4 linked regions of the Zea mays genome follow. The main gene of each other region encodes a partner of the protein of the gene in region 2 in a complex. Links are inferred from orthologs where the notes say so. Each region holds a gene or a part of one and is shown on either strand. Other genes may lie near its edges. The genes, in order: 50S ribosomal protein L24, chloroplastic-like; 50S ribosomal protein L4-like; 50S ribosomal protein L34-like; 50S ribosomal protein L31-like.

What was found.
Region 1: 50S ribosomal protein L4-like (region 2) and 50S ribosomal protein L24, chloroplastic-like share a complex: the UniProt entries of both Arabidopsis thaliana proteins name them as parts of the 50S ribosomal subunit. The link is inferred for Zea mays from reciprocal best matches to the Arabidopsis thaliana genes RPL4 and RPL24.
Region 3: 50S ribosomal protein L4-like (region 2) and 50S ribosomal protein L34-like share a complex: the UniProt entries of both Arabidopsis thaliana proteins name them as parts of the 50S ribosomal subunit. The link is inferred for Zea mays from reciprocal best matches to the Arabidopsis thaliana genes RPL4 and AT1G29070.
Region 4: 50S ribosomal protein L4-like (region 2) and 50S ribosomal protein L31-like share a complex: the UniProt entries of both Arabidopsis thaliana proteins name them as parts of the 50S ribosomal subunit. The link is inferred for Zea mays from reciprocal best matches to the Arabidopsis thaliana genes RPL4 and emb2184.

Annotation. Positions count from the first base shown.
Region 1 is NC_050100.1:50,135,591-50,139,956, reverse strand, and holds 50S ribosomal protein L24, chloroplastic-like, read left to right. Parts: upstream 1-1,508; 5' UTR 1,509-1,565; coding exon 1,566-1,694; intron 1,695-3,130; coding exon 3,131-3,169; intron 3,170-3,257; coding exon 3,258-3,485; intron 3,486-3,620; coding exon 3,621-3,803; 3' UTR 3,804-3,989; downstream 3,990-4,366. UniProt on the Arabidopsis thaliana protein: One of two assembly initiator proteins, it binds directly to the 5'-end of the 23S rRNA, where it nucleates assembly of the 50S subunit. Required for optimal plastid performance in terms of photosynthesis and growth.
Region 2 is NC_050096.1:38,266,238-38,270,493, forward strand, and holds the start of 50S ribosomal protein L4-like, read left to right. Parts: upstream 1-1,439; 5' UTR 1,440-1,465; coding exon 1,466-2,372; intron 2,373-4,256. Other genes in the region: Peroxisomal nicotinamide adenine dinucleotide carrier, read left to right, coding at 1-133. UniProt on the Arabidopsis thaliana protein: This protein binds directly and specifically to 23S rRNA. May play a role in plastid transcriptional regulation.
Region 3 is NC_050098.1:192,686,081-192,689,762, forward strand, and holds 50S ribosomal protein L34-like, read left to right. Parts: upstream 1-1,164; 5' UTR 1,165-1,190; coding exon 1,191-1,440; intron 1,441-2,712; coding exon 2,713-2,972; 3' UTR 2,973-3,116; downstream 3,117-3,682. UniProt on the Arabidopsis thaliana protein: This protein binds directly to 23S ribosomal RNA.
Region 4 is NC_050098.1:221,939,963-221,942,826, forward strand, and holds 50S ribosomal protein L31-like, read left to right. Parts: upstream 1-1,470; 5' UTR 1,471-1,528; coding exon 1,529-1,618; intron 1,619-1,724; coding exon 1,725-2,027; 3' UTR 2,028-2,320; downstream 2,321-2,864. UniProt on the Arabidopsis thaliana protein: Binds the 23S rRNA.

The sequences.
Region 1 (4,366 bases), on a different chromosome or scaffold from region 2:
AACTCTTGTGGAGGCCACAAGGTGCAAAATCTCTATCACAGTGGGCAAATTAATCAACAACCGAAGGAAACTACTTGACATGTCTAGCTCCGAAACCTGTGAAAAAAAATGGTCCACATCTGGAGTGTCGCAAGCAAGTAGAGCTTTGCCCAGACAGATTGAGTTTTGCCCAGCACTCCAGCATCCATGCCTTAAAAGGTTATAGTTAGAAAGGGGGAGGATTGCTAAGCCCTTGCCAGTTAGCCACATAGAGAGAAGGCCTTATTATTAGATCATGCCATTTCTTTTCTTACAAAATTAACAAAGTGCAAAGCATTACTATGGCCACGAGGAACAGATAGCTACGAAATGAAACTGTCGCAATTATCATGGAAAAAAGCCACACATTTCCTTATCCATTTTGTTTGGTAGCGCCACATAGAAACAAAACTTCATGTCACGATTTGCATAGTTATCTCAACACATGTGGCGAATAGAAAAGGAGAAAGAGAAAAATAAACACAAGATTCTTAACCATAATAAGATATAATTTGTGTCGGGCATTTGCATAGTCACATGCTTATCCCATGGGGAACGTTAAAGGTTTGCTTGCACGGCAGGACCATTCCTGATTCCCTAGATGGTAGTTAGATGACGGCGATAGGAGCCGAGGCCCAACTGCCCAGTGATGTATTGGCCGTGTTGTTTATGTGATCTGTCATGGATGTCCTACTATGATTCAAGGATTTAGGACATGCGCAGAACTGCCAGCAATGAAAAGTCGAAGAAAGAGATATTGACTTCGAGGGGGAGAAATGTAGTCCACTATGAGAAAAGAGATACCCAATGTCTCTGGAGAAAAAGATCTGAGGTAAACACGTCTAACTTGCAACCATGATTTGCAATAGAGAAATCCGATTGACATCCCACCCTTTCTCGGTGCAGGATGGGACCTGCAGCAGCAAAAGCGCAAAGCTTCGATGTCACCGCCATCCACCTACCCTCCATCGCCCAAACTGTCTCTGTCTCTGTAACGCGAATTTTATTTTACACAACAGCAAAGTGAAAAACTGGAGTAGGGGGTTCGCTTGCCTCAGCAACCGTCGCGTAGCTTGCGCGCCTCGGCGCTGGAACGGGGAATCTGGAGGCGGGCACGCATCTCCCAAGCAATCTCGCGTGGCCTCGCGTAGCGTGCGAGGAGACACGCAGAGAGGGAGGGAGAGAGAAAGAGAGCCTTGACCCCGCCGTCCTCGTCCTGTCGTCCTGATAGCTGATGCAGTGATGCTGATCAGCTGATGCGTGCGGAGCTCGCTCGTGGAGCCGAGGCCCTAGCCTGTAGCCTCTCACGGCGGTAGAACGAGCACCCATGGGCCTCACTGGATCACCTAAGCGTCTTCCAGGCCCATCTGTGCCTCACCTGAGGCCTGTCTCATTTAGTGACGAGGCCCAACCCACCAGCGTCAGAATACAAGAGCGCGTTATCCTCTCTCTTCCGGTTCCGGGCAACTCGAAGAAGCCGCGTGCGTTATCCTTTGAGCAGTTTGGGCGCTGAGCAAGTCCAGTGAGAGAGGGAGAGCGGCGAGAGGATGGCTGGGATGGCATCGCTGCAGGGCGCCATGGCGTCGCTCTCCATCTCCGCGCTAGGCGCGGCGACGGCGAGCAGCAGCAGCTTCTGGGGCAACCGGCTCGCCACCTACTCCGCGCCGCAGCCTGGGGTCTGTTCCTGCTTCCCAATTCCGTTCCGTTCTGCTGATGGTTTGGTAGATAATAAGTAGCTGTTCTGGTGAAAGATTTTACTCTGGAGTTTCTGGATAGCGTTGCAAAGCGCGGTCGGATGGAATTGTTCTAGGGACATTCGAGCTTGCATTACGGTTTTGGAGCTAGTCTGTATGGATTGGATGCAATGAAATGGAAAATTACCTTTGCATTGTTATTAATTGTGCATTTTCAAGGATGACAAACCAGGCTTCTAATATGACTATGTTTAGGGGTGTTTGACATCACTCTAGAGCAAAACTTTAAGGAAGACCTGGACAAAGTCAACTAAACACCCTAATTCTAGAGTTGCAAACTCTATAGAGTTTTGAGAGTTGTAGTATAATTTTTTGGAGTACATTTTTTGCTACTTTGAAAAATCCTTCAAAAACAATCAAGACACATCCAATGCACTGGTTATGAGAAAGCAATCTACACTTCGGAGCAGATATACTTCACCCAAAGTTTTGGAGTAGAACTATGCCAAACTCGCCCTTATTAGATTTCATATTACATTAAGTTTCTATTTGCTCCACGACACACACTAAATTTAGACCGTGTCCATATTGAATTTCGTCTACCTTCTTTTTTTATTTTTATCTTGCATGGAAGCTTAAATGGTAAGATTTGAGTGCGCCAAATAGATTAACTGATTGGGATTAATTTAAGTAAGAGAATTTCCTTTGTCATTGGTAATCCGGTATTGTCCTTTTTGCATATACAACTATGCACATGTTTGCCTTTTAGTGCTAATAGAGAGTATGCTGTGTTTCATGTGGTAAAATTTGTTCGAGTACTCTTTATTTAGTTTGTTAACTGAGGAAATTATGTTGCTTTTGAAGCGGTCAAAATGTCAACTGAAGAAATTATGTTGCCCTCAATGTGCCACTGATTTTGTTTATATATATTTATGCCTGAATTACCCCACATCACACAATACATATGACTAACTGGAAACAAAATTTGGCGCCAAATAGTGTATTATGAGCATAATGATGTTTGTATTTGAACCCTGCTTTCTTTTCTGTGTCATCTTTATTATGCCTTACCTGTATGTACTTGTGCCTGGAAAATTCCCAACTGATAAGAATCGGATGAGGATAAACCTTTCTGTTAAGAAGCAAAAGCAAGTAAAGAATAGATAGTGAGGTCAAGTAATCACTGTTGAAGGAAGTGATAGAACCACTGTATTTTAAGGGATATCGTATTACTCAAACATAAAGAGGAGCCCTGGATCCTGTAGTGTCTTGATCAGATCAACATGAATCGTAACCACTGTGTTTGAGTCATGCCATATCTCAGAAGCATCTGATTAGTGTCTCTTTGATTTGAAATGGAATCTTATGTCTTTAGGATGTGAAGTTCTGACAAGCTGTTTAATATGTTCAATATGCAGGTAAGGTTTATGGTCAAGATATGCCCAATTGAAATGAGAGTGAGTAAAAAAAATCTTTAGTCCAAATATTTGATACCTTTTTTATCCAATAATGTGAAATGTCCTAAAACTTCACTTTCCACTGCAGCTTAAGAGATGGGAGCGAAAGAAGTGTAAACCAAACAGTCTTCCTGTGCTGCACAAGATGCATGTTAGGATCGGGGACACGGTACAGGTTATTGCAGGCCGTGAGAAAGGAAAGGTTGGAGAAGTCACACGCCTTTTCAAGCACAACAGCACGGTGATCGTGAAGGACCTGAACTTGAAGTCGAAGCACAAGAAAGGCACAGACGATGAACCCGGTGAAATCGTCATGGTCAGCAAAATTTCTATTGAACTTGTTTTTTGGGCCTCTCATGATGCTTTGCACATATTGGTTTCAAGAGCATATCTGTAGTTTTAGTAGGTGCCTAATCGTTCTCTTGATCAGACTTAAATTTTCTTTGATCAGATTGAAGGCCCCATTCATAGCTCAAATGTGATGCTCTACTCTAAGGAGAAGAGTGTGGTAAGCAGGGTTGGCCACAAATTCCTGGAGGACGGGACCAAGGTCCGATACCTGGTCAAGACCGGTGAAGTAATCGACAGTGTTGAGAAGTGGGTAAAGGTTTTTAAGGAAGGAAATTCGGAGTAACAGTTTTAGCATGAAAACCTGCAAAATGCTCTGAACGCTGACTGCGTCTTGCATGTTGAATTGAGCCTGTTTATCCCTCTATGTTGTTATTTACGCCAGTTTTTCCCCCTGTAAATTATACAGTTGTCACCAAATCTTGCAACGCAAGTCAATGCGCATCAGCATATGCTGATCTTGTTCCGCTTCACCAGTCAGAGTTTTGGATGAAAAACTATGAGGGCATGTTCGGTTACAGTAATCCAGAGGGGGATTGGAGGGGATTAAATCCCCTCCTAGTCATTTTTGACTAGGAGAGGATTTAATCCCCTCCAATCCCCCTCTGGATTGGTGTAACCGAACAAGCCCTGAACGGGCTTGTATGTGCGGGCAGCCCGTGTTCGTTTGCAGCTCTGGACCCACTACTCTCGGTCTCGTCCTCACTTCCTCAGAAATATCCACATATATCATTTCCTATATTACAAAGGCATATTACAAAGGCGAAGTAACCTGTGCACATGAAGCAATAGTGCACATATAACATCTCAGTCTCTAATCTTCGATCAAACGGTTGCATCTCCCAACTC
Region 2 (4,256 bases):
AAAAATTGTGCAAAGTGTTTTTGCTTCTGCTTTGCTTTTTATGATTAAGGAGGAGCTGGTGAAGGGTGCTCGACTATTGGTAACTGGTAACACTAGTCTGGTTAAGAAACTACCATCAAAGTCATCAAGATGAACTACGGGCATCGCAAGCGTTAGTATATCATCCTAAAAAGCCATTTATTATCCGCATAAACCGTAAACAAGGTCGACAAGCTATAGAGCTCGCCTCTGCTTTGGATATGTCAACTGTAGGTTACACAATAGCCAGTATGATTCACGTAGGGACCAAAGACTATGTTGGATAGATATTTGTATCATTCATGTAGAATGTATCGTGGAAGATCGAAACAGAAGAAAATAAATAAGTATGATAATTTGAACTTCGGCCATCTGCTCTAAACTTCTGATTTCCTGACTTGCTTTTACCTTATGGTTTGTGCAAGGGTGGCAGAATATCTGGAAAAAAAAACTATCATGAGAATGCAATCCGCAGTCATCTATTCAGGTTTCTTGACCTGCATGACTTTGCTTGTTACCTTGTCGGTAAGGAGACGCGTGCAAGTTGGTTATCATCAGGAAGCCAAGGGAACGTAGAACTTCTGATTAAGGCTGTGCGCAGCGGTCACCGCTAGCACTCCCCCTCCCCTTGCATGCCGTCTGTAGGGGGCACCCTACGGCCGCAGCGGTGCCCCCTACAGCGCCCCCTACGCGTCGGCACCCTTCTATCTCCCCCCAGATCTAGCGTGTCACTGTTCATCACCCTAAACACTGTGCTGTGGGTCCACGAGTAATTGTTAGTAGATAAAAAATTAATAGTTGATATAGAAAATGATATTTTATAGTTGTAGTGGGGTATAGGGGAGTATTTAGGGGGAACCGCTGCGGGAGATGAAAAAATAGGGAGAAAAATAGGGGGGAAAAGTGATATAGGGGGAAAAATTTAGGGGTAACGGTTGCGGATAGCCTAATCCTTTTTACCTAGAATTTCTGAAGATTCGTTTTCACCCTTTATCTATCCCAGCTGTGCTGAAAGCATTGGGCACTTGCAGTTGAGTCTGCAGGTGCAGCTGACTTAAGTGCACAGGCACGGTTTCGTCTCCTCCCGTCCCGTGTCAACCAGTTTTAGCAAACTGCAAGCAAATAAATTCACTTAACACGGCAAATGCCCTTTCATTACTTGTAATATTAATGGATTTTTAAGGAAAAATTACTCAAACTTGTGAAGTGCGACTGCGACTAGCCGACTCGGCATGAGACCTGACTCGGTGACTCCTGAGACAGTTGACAGTGTGCCTTCTTGTGGCGTTGGCAAGTAGGGACTACGAGTCTGTCTGGGGAGGAGTGGCCGAACCGAACGGGTGGATAACAAAGGGATAGAGAAGCGGCAGCTGCAGAGGCAGAGCGTCAGAGCCATCGTCCTCGCCTCACCCCGTAGTCCCGTACCTAGCGCAGCGAAGCCGGCACAATGCCAGCCGCCGCCGTAGTCTCCCCTCTCCTCCTCTCGCTCTCCTCGTCCTCCTCCCCCTTCCTCTCTTCCTCATCCACCTCCTTTTTCCCACCCTCCTCCGCTGCCGTCACTCCACACGCCGCCGTCAGGACGAGGGCGGCTGTCTCCGTCCTCCGCGCGCTGCGCGCCGAGGCGGCCACCCTCCCCGTGCTCTCATTCACCGGAGAGAAGGTCGGGGAGGTAACCCTCGACCTCAAATCCGCGCCACCCTCCACCGCGCGCGCTGTCGTGCACCGCGCTATCATCACCGACCGCCAGAACGCGCGCCGAGGCACGGCCTCCACGCTCACCCGCGGCGAGGTCAGAGGCGGAGGGAGGAAGCCCTATCAGCAGAAGAAGACGGGGAAGGCGCGGCGGGGGTCGCAGCGTACCCCGCTTCGTCCCGGCGGTGGCGTCGTGTTCGGCCCCAAGCCCCGCGACTGGTCCATCAAGATCAACCGCAAGGAGAAGCGCCTTGCCATCTCCACTGCCATCGTGAGCGCCGCCAAGGACGCCTTCGTTGTCGAGGAGTTCGAGGAGGCCTTCGCGTCGGGGCCCAAGACCAGGGATTTCGTGGCCGCTTTGCAGCGGTGGGGGCTTGACCCGAAGCAGAAAGCCATGTTCTTTGCCACGGACTTCGACGACAATGTGCGGCTCAGCGGCAGGAACATTGGTTCCCTCAAAATGCTCACACCCAGGACGCTGAACCTGTACGACATACTCGACGCACGCAAGCTCTTCTTTACTCCTGCTGCTGTAGACTACCTCAACTCCAGGTACGGAGCCAGTGTTTCCGATGACTACTATACTGATGACGAGGATGATGGCGAGGAGGAACTGGTCGAGCAAGAAGCAGAAGAAGGCACCACAGCAGATGCTGCTCCAGGTACATAGCTACAGAGTATGCTTTGCTGGTTGCAGTGCGCTGCTTGATTATTCCTGTACTGGCCATATATGGGCTCTCTGCTAGTAACTGCTATCCTTCAGTTAGTACATGTCTCAACAGGTTGAAGGAGAATAGCAAATGGTAGTGCTACGAAGCAGTAATGCCGATTGGATTGAATTGCATCACCATTATTTTGGGGAACATTTTATCTACAATGTAAATTTGAATGGCATAAAACCACACTACTCAAGGACCAAGACATGGGGTTTGAATATCGGTTTTGTACAGGACTATGTTTTGCTGAATAAAAATGCACCTCTTACCATATTTCTCATTTTTCTAAAAGAGAGTGGCAGGAGCTCTGCCTTGCATTGAAGGGAAATAAGATGGTTTTGTCTGAATGGCAGACACGCCTCAACATAAAATAGGACAACCACAAATTTCATGAGAGAGCCAACCTGCAAAGAAACAAAAACAAGACACAATTGTTGTGGCGGCCAATGATGTCGGTGTCACGGCGGGAGAGGGCGTGGTCGACCGTATGGAGACAACTGGGGCAGTATTACACCGTGAAGTTGAAGCCGAACAACTTGCTCACCCACTGGTGCCGCAGGATCGTTGAGAGGCGTTGATCAGGCAGGAACTTCACGCTAAAGTGGTTGGTGCAGATGAGTAACCGGCGCCCCCAGAGATATGGGCGCCAATGACGCACGACTTGCACCAAGTCGATGAGCTCTCGTTCGTAGGCGGCGATCTTCTGGTGTCATGGCACGAATGGTCAGCTGAAGTAGGCCAGTGGTCCTGCGCCCTACTGAAGGATAGCGCCGAACCCTATGCTCGTCGCGTCACACTCCACGACGAACAAGGTATCGAAGACTGGCAGATGGAGGACCGACACAGTGGAGTGTGCGCGCTTGAGTGCGGTGAAGGTCGTCTCAGCCTTCGGTGACAAGTGGAAGGTGTCCTTCCCTAGCAAGCTGGTGAGTGGCGCCACGATGAGGTCGAATTCCTATATGAACTTCCTGTAGTACCCCATAAGGCCCAGGAAGGTGCAGCCAAGACGTGACGGCCTCCACCTTGTCTCCATCCATGGCTACGCCATCTACGGAGATGACGTGCCCTAGGTATGCGACGGACGTCATGCCAAAGGAGAGCTTGCCAAAGAGGGAGTGTGCATGGAGGCGTCGAAAAAGGCGTGTTGCAGATGAGTTGACCACGAGTCGTTGTAGATGAGAATACATCAAAGAAAACAAGGACAAACCAACGGAGTAAGGGCTGCGTGACTTCATTCATGAGGCTCTAGAATGTTGCCTGCGTGTTTGCCAACCCAACTGGCACCAACAGAAACTCAAAGTGGCCATGGTGGGTGTGAAACACGGTCTTCTCGATGTCGCCTGTGTGCATGCGGATCTGGTGGTACCCGGAGCGTAGGTCCAGTTTTATGAAGAAATGGGCGCCATGGAGCTCGTCAAGGAGCTCATCAACGACGGGGACGACGAGGATTGGGAACTTGTCCTTCACCGTGTAGTCGTTGAGGAAGCGCAAGGAGTCGATGTAGAAGAGCAAGGAGTCATGCTTCTTGACGAGGAGCATCGATGTGGAGAAGGTCGACGTGCTAGGCTAAATAACGCCCTAGACCAGCATGTCGACGACTTTGCACTCCAATTCGTCCTTATGGACCTACGAGTAGCGGTAGGGTCGGACAGCGACTGTTGTCGTGTCTGGCTGCAAGTGAATGCAATGGTCACATGCACGAGTTGGTGGCAATCCAGAAGGCATGGCGAAGACATCGATGTTGGCGAGAAGATCGTCAAGGAGTGGTCGCGGCTCAGGCAGAATAGTGTGGAGGGCTATCGACGTCGTTGCACAACATTGAGAGCCGAC
Region 3 (3,682 bases), on a different chromosome or scaffold from region 2:
TCCTTAGAACCGACCATCTATGGGCCGATTTTTAGCAGGTCTAGACACCTAGTCCCCAGCAGAGTCGCCAAAAGTATGTTGACACCTTTTTCGGGCGCCAAACACTCAACAAGAACCGGCGACGGTGCTCTCTACACAGGCGCAAACGGTTCGCGCCCAGGGGCCGGACGGTCCGCGACCTGACGCAGGGCTAGGGTTCCCTGCCTGACGGCCGGACGGTATGCGCCCTAGGGGCCGGACGGTCCGCGTGTGCGCAGGGGCGGCGAAAGGTCGCCGGCGGCGCCTGGATCTCGCTCCCGGGAGGGACCCCGTCGGGGAGGAGAGATTCTAGGGGTTGTCTAGGCTCGACAGGCCGACCTAGATCCTCTAATCGACATAGAGTCGAAGAGAAGCGGAGAATTTGGGGATTAGAATACTAAACTAGGGCTAAACTAGAACTAGACTAGAACTACTCCTAATGCATAAGGTAAAAACGAGTAATAGACTTGATTTGATCGATTGTTGGGGAGTTCAATCGGCCGTAGCCCTTCATCTATATAAAGGGGGAGGTCTGGATCCGCTTCGAACTGATTTCCGAGTCAATCCCACGGTTTTAGATAACAAATCCCATGAGAAACTAGGAACCCTAACTGACTCTGCGCACGTGCGGACCGTCCGCGCCACCACCGAAGACAGTCCGGACCGTGGACCGTCCGCGCGGCCCCTTTTGGCTTTCAACAACTGTATATGCTCGGACTTAGAGCTAAAGATCCAGAAATGAGGAAGCAATTCTTCAAGCTTTACCATGATACAGTTTTGTAAACATTCTTAATCTTTAAAAGATGCTAACAAGAGTATAGGACAACAATTAATGCTTCTGCATTTCAACGTATCTTATCTTAACATATTTTACTCCGTAGCAATGCACGGGCATACAACTAGTATCATTGTAAGTTTTATAATGGAATGAAGCCCTCTAATTAATGGTAAAATAGCGAAACTCACTTTTGATAATGGCGCAATCCTAAATTTCTCCGTGAGGAACCGGGATTCTCCAGGGCGGAGGAGGGGATGTGTGGGTCAAATGTGCACTAGCCCATAGGAGGCCCATAAGGCCTGTCTCATCAAGCGTGGATAAGATAAAATAAAACAAGCACCAGGGACAGGGAGTGGCTAGACCGCAGCAATTGCGATTGCGAGTCCTCCAAACCATGGCGCTCGCCCTGGCCTCTCCAATGGCGTCTCTCTCCTTCCACTCCGGGAGGATCTCGGCGGCGTCTATCGGAGGCGTCGGCCGCACTCGCAGGGCGGCCCCGGTGGGCGTATCCGCCTCGCCGTTCCTCCGGAGCTCCTTCGTCTCGTCCTCCTCCACGTCGTCCGCCTCCGCCTCCGCCTCCCCCGCTTCGCTCGCGGCGGCTGTCTCGGCGTCTCTGGCATTTACGTCCTCCTCCGCGTTTGCGGGTGAGAATGTATCCTGTAATCCTTTTCTTCCTGTATTCGTGTGCTAGCGTTTGGGCGGCCATTTGTTTTGGTCTTTATTTGGGGAAATTTTGTGGGTAGTTTGCTTACTAGTAAGCTCGTACGGGGAAATGACATTAAAAATTTGAAATTATGACTTCATGACCGTGTGTTGACGATAGATTTGCAGAATAGGATGTTTGACTTGCTAATAATTCACTAATAATACAGTAAGCTGGTATCAAGAGGGTGGAGTTTTGGAATAGTTTGTTCTTTGTTGTTCATTACTCTAGTAGGGTGAAGAACAGTAACTGGGGATTTATGTTGTTTTAACGTTTGAACCGGAATTAATTACACTCACTTCATCTATACAAACAGAAATAAGGGTGTCCTAACTAATTCTTTGAAAACATTGAAGCTTGTGTGGTTGGTATTATAAAAAAACCAAAAATTCAGTTAGTCGGGCATATTAATAGAGAAGGACTAGATACACCAACATCGTTGAAAACAAAAGAAAAATGCTCACGAAACGAAGCGATGGCAAGACAATCACCAAAATAATAGTACATCGCCAATAAAACCATCAGAGCATTGGCAATCAGAACACGCCCTGATAGCCAAACAAGATATGGGGTGGGGTTCATATGATGCCTCCAAGGAGGTAAACAACATCTGCAGGTGCCGCCATCGATTATAGAACCTATGCTTTTGAACCAAAATCCCCTTAGGGTCTAGAGACCTCTTGACAATGCCTACAAGGAGGAGTGCGTCACCATTGCTGGCATCAACAGAAAGCCGAGCGTAGCTTTTGTCGAAAATCTGCTACCCCAAAACCCACACCTTGTTCCTGCAATGGCAAGGAGCCCACCAACGGCACTGCATGTTGTCATCCACCAAGTCTCAAGATAAAGTCATTGCAATAGCATTTTCTTTTGCTTGACAAGAAATCAAGATTTAAGAAGGGCTGCATATGACAGGACTATTAACCAATATAGTGAAGATTATATAACACAGTTGAAGCATAAACGCTTCCAAGAAACTTGATCTCAGGACTGATAGTCTGATACTACGACAACACTTTAATCACACTCGACTTTTCCATTACCTAAAGCAAATCCCAAAGCTCCTAAAAGAAGCACGACAAAGTTGAATCCAACAAACCATTTAAGCATTGTATAACAATCCAAACACAACCAGATAGGTATTCACAAATCAATGATTGTGAGTGCATGTGTGCCTTCGTTGTTCTTATACTTATAGCATGTTCTATGCCAGGTTCATCTTTGGGAATCGAGTTCAGCTACAGTATAATGACAACACGGAGATCCCGTGGTATGCAGATTAGGGCTGGAAAGGCTGCCCTCTGCATGACCAAGAGGTCAAGGTCTAGGAAGTCACTTGCCCGTACACATGGTTTCCGCAGGCGGATGCGGACTACTTCTGGAAGGAAGGTACTGAAGCGCAGGCGCGCCAAAGGCAGGAAGGTTCTTTGCACAAGGACAAACTCAAACAGTGGGAAGAAAAGAATGTTCTAATTACACTGCAATTTGATGTGCTCGCAACTGTAAGTGTAATGTCTACTTGCAATCTTCTAAGCCGCCATCTATGTGTAACAATCATGTAGCATCCTATTCCTGTTTAATTGGTTAAAAATATCTGGATCACCTTCTGCTTCCAAGGTTTTATTTGGTGTATGAATGATATTTTCTTATGAATATTTACTCTTCCCTAGTGGGCCTGAACCTGCGTGCAGTATGAAGGAACACTTGAGAGTAGATACCGTCGCTGTTATGAAGTAGGATCTCCTTTTACCCTGCCCATATTCCGTTATGAATACTGAATCTTCCCTGTTGGGTCTGAAATTGTGTGCAGTAGCATCGTTCGCTATACTGAACTAGGATCTCCTTTTGCGTTGCAGGGATAATCAGTTAAACTATTATATACTCCGGTTCCAATTTATAATTCATTTGACTTTTTTACACTAAGTTTGACCATCTCGTTTTATTTAAAAAATCATAATTATTGTTAAAGTTTACTGTGGTTTTGATTAGCATACAATATACTTTAAGTATGGCTTTGGATTTTTTTATTTTTTCAAAAAAAAAATTGAATAAGACAAACCGGATTTACCTTCATTAGCTGATGATGAAACTACTTACCCGTGCGGCCGTTTGATCCTTGCGCTACTTAAATTCTCTTTTCGATGGAGAGAAAGAGGCCGAAAGGACTCTGATGTCTAAAAGTA
Region 4 (2,864 bases), on a different chromosome or scaffold from region 2:
ATCTACTTGTTCTCTCCATTAGTCCAAATCTTACAAATGTTAAGCAAACTTCTACCGGTGAAATCGATCAGAACATACTTTTTTCTATTGGACATGATAATATACGATGTATGAGCTATAATAAAGCAAACAATCATAGTTTAGTATGAATTGCAGCAGAACATCGTAATTATGATCGACAAACATTGTTATACTCATACAACATGGAATAAATCTTTGTAGATGTAGTTAATCGATAAATAACAAATATAAAATTGCACCTATCAAAGTTAAAATATATGAATACTTAGCTAGATCTATTATCAACAAGGCATAATGAATAGAGATAGCCAAACAAACCAAAGTTAAAATATATGAATACTTAGGGCAGCATGACGTACGAATAATGATATACCAAAAGGTGATAGAAGAGTATAGTATTTAGTAAGAGCAACTACAATAGTTATGTATAATAATAATACCTAAATCCTAGATATAGCAAGTTCTCATATAATATAGGGGAAAAAATCATCTCATCCAACATTTCTCTATCTATTACTTTCTAAATATGTTAAATTTTAATTAACATGACGCTAGTTTGAGTAGGACCATTAGTGATGACACATTTAATTGGTGAGTTATGTTGGCTTTTTTATTTACTATCACAATTGTTTATTCGTTTATTTCTAACATGTGCACGTGCGGCTATTGCATTGGCAATTGGTTAATCTCTAGTTGACTACCTGCCACAATTTTACATCGTCGGCGTCCGACGAATGTGCTCTGTTAATATATCTCTACTACAAAGTGAAAAAACACCAAAATACAAAAGTTATCGTCAGTTTTTTGTTTAGGAAGTTGATAAATGGTTGCTAAATGTAGGGAGAAATTGAGATTAGATGAGAAGTAGCTAAATTTAGAAAATTCATTTAAGAGAGTTGTTGGAGATGAGTTTTTAGTTTAGCTACCTAAATTATTTATTGATTTAAGGAATCTTTTGGAGAACTACTAGAGTTGCTCTAATAGAGTTGCTCTAAATTATTTAATTTTATACTCTTAAGAAAACCGTAACAACTGTAATTGTAGTTTGCATATCATTCCTTAATTATATTTAAGTCAGACTCTACACGGCATGCAACTTTCTCTTCTTTTGGCCCACTAATTCAACCAACCATCTACCAACACTTTCATTTCTGGTGGTGTACTTTCTTCGACGTTACATCTATGAAAGAGAATTTTGATCCGAAATGTTTCGATAAATAAAAAACCGCATAGCTATACCTCTTTAGTATAGCTGGCCGCCAACTGGAAATAACTGAAGGAGAAATTGGGCACTGGATTTTTCGTGGGCCGTCGCATTTCCACGTAGCCCAAAACAAACCACAGACAGACTTTAATGAACATATAGAGCCCAAACAAGCCTAGACAACGCTACCTAAAGAGAGAATCGACGAGCGCCAGAGGATAACATTAGCAAGGCGATAGATAAGAGGAAGGAAAGAACATAGGCAGCCGAAGCGACTGTCGCGAGGCAAGGCCATCGTCCGCCATGACGCTCTCCCTCTCCACCTCTTTCCTCCCCATCCCCGCCGCCGCGAGGACCACCGCCCGCACCCTACGCTCCGTCGTCCCCTCCCAGGTACGCACGTTCGTACACACCGGCCCTCCCTCTCGCCATTCCTGCACGGATCTTCGTCGTCGCCGCCGCTAATTCCTGAGTCCGGAACCTGGACGGCGCGGTGCAGGGGATGCGCTGCTCGATGCGCAAGAAGGGGTTGCACCCGGAGATCTACGAGGACGCGAAGGTGTACTGCAACGGCGAGCTGGTGCTGGTGACGGGGGGCACCAAGCCGGAGTACACGGTGGACGTGTGGTCCGGAAACCACCCCTACTATGTCGGCGACACCTCGGCGCTCGTGGTCATGGACAGCCAGATCGAGAAGTTCCGCAAGAAGTGGGGCCACATCAAGGAGTACTGGCCCGAGGACCAGTGGAGGGAGATGCACCCAGACGGCGACCCGGAGTTCGAGCCCGAGGGGGACAACTGATTGATGGCTCCCCGTCTTCCTCACCCGGTGCGTGGTCACCGGTCCAGTTTACATTTGCCCTCTTGAATGGAATCGAGACTCTGTCTGTTCGCATTGCTCTCCAGGTGTTCGGTTAATGTTCGGAATGGAAAATGTACAATTACTACTACTTCACGAGATAGGGTCTTGTTGATCATGGGCCCCCAAATACAATGTGCTTTCTGCAATGCACTCTAGGGTAGGATGGTATTGATCAAACAAGCAAATGATCCTGGTTCGAGGAAATGGATATTTCTCACTAGGAGTATACGCTGATGCTTGACTACAGCTTGAGTCGTCTGCTGATAACCTGATACCGCATACTGTTTGATCAAACTAGCCTCCTGTTGCTAGGTGATCCAATTTCCGAGTCATAGTTTTATACAACCAATTTTTCCATGCGACTGAACTAATTGAGTGTCCATGTGTTGCATGATATATAAAACATGTCGTGACATACGGCCATATGGGTGGAATAGAATATTTGTAAAATCTCATGCCATTACAAACAATTAGCACCAACATATAATTCAAGCTAATTTCTATAAAATAAAACAAAATGACTATAATATTATTGGCTTAATCTAGACAAAAGAAAAGTAAGTAATTTTATTTTGTTATTAATAAACCGTTGAAGATAATATCATACACTAGCTCTGATTCACTCTATTTCCTACGTTGATAGAAAATGTGGCGGAAATAAGAATAGATAGCGACAAGCAAATAGATACTCCCTCCGGTGTTATATTATTTGTCGTTTTGGATAATGTTCGAGTCAAACTTATAAAATTTTGACTACAAATAACTGTTATTTATTTA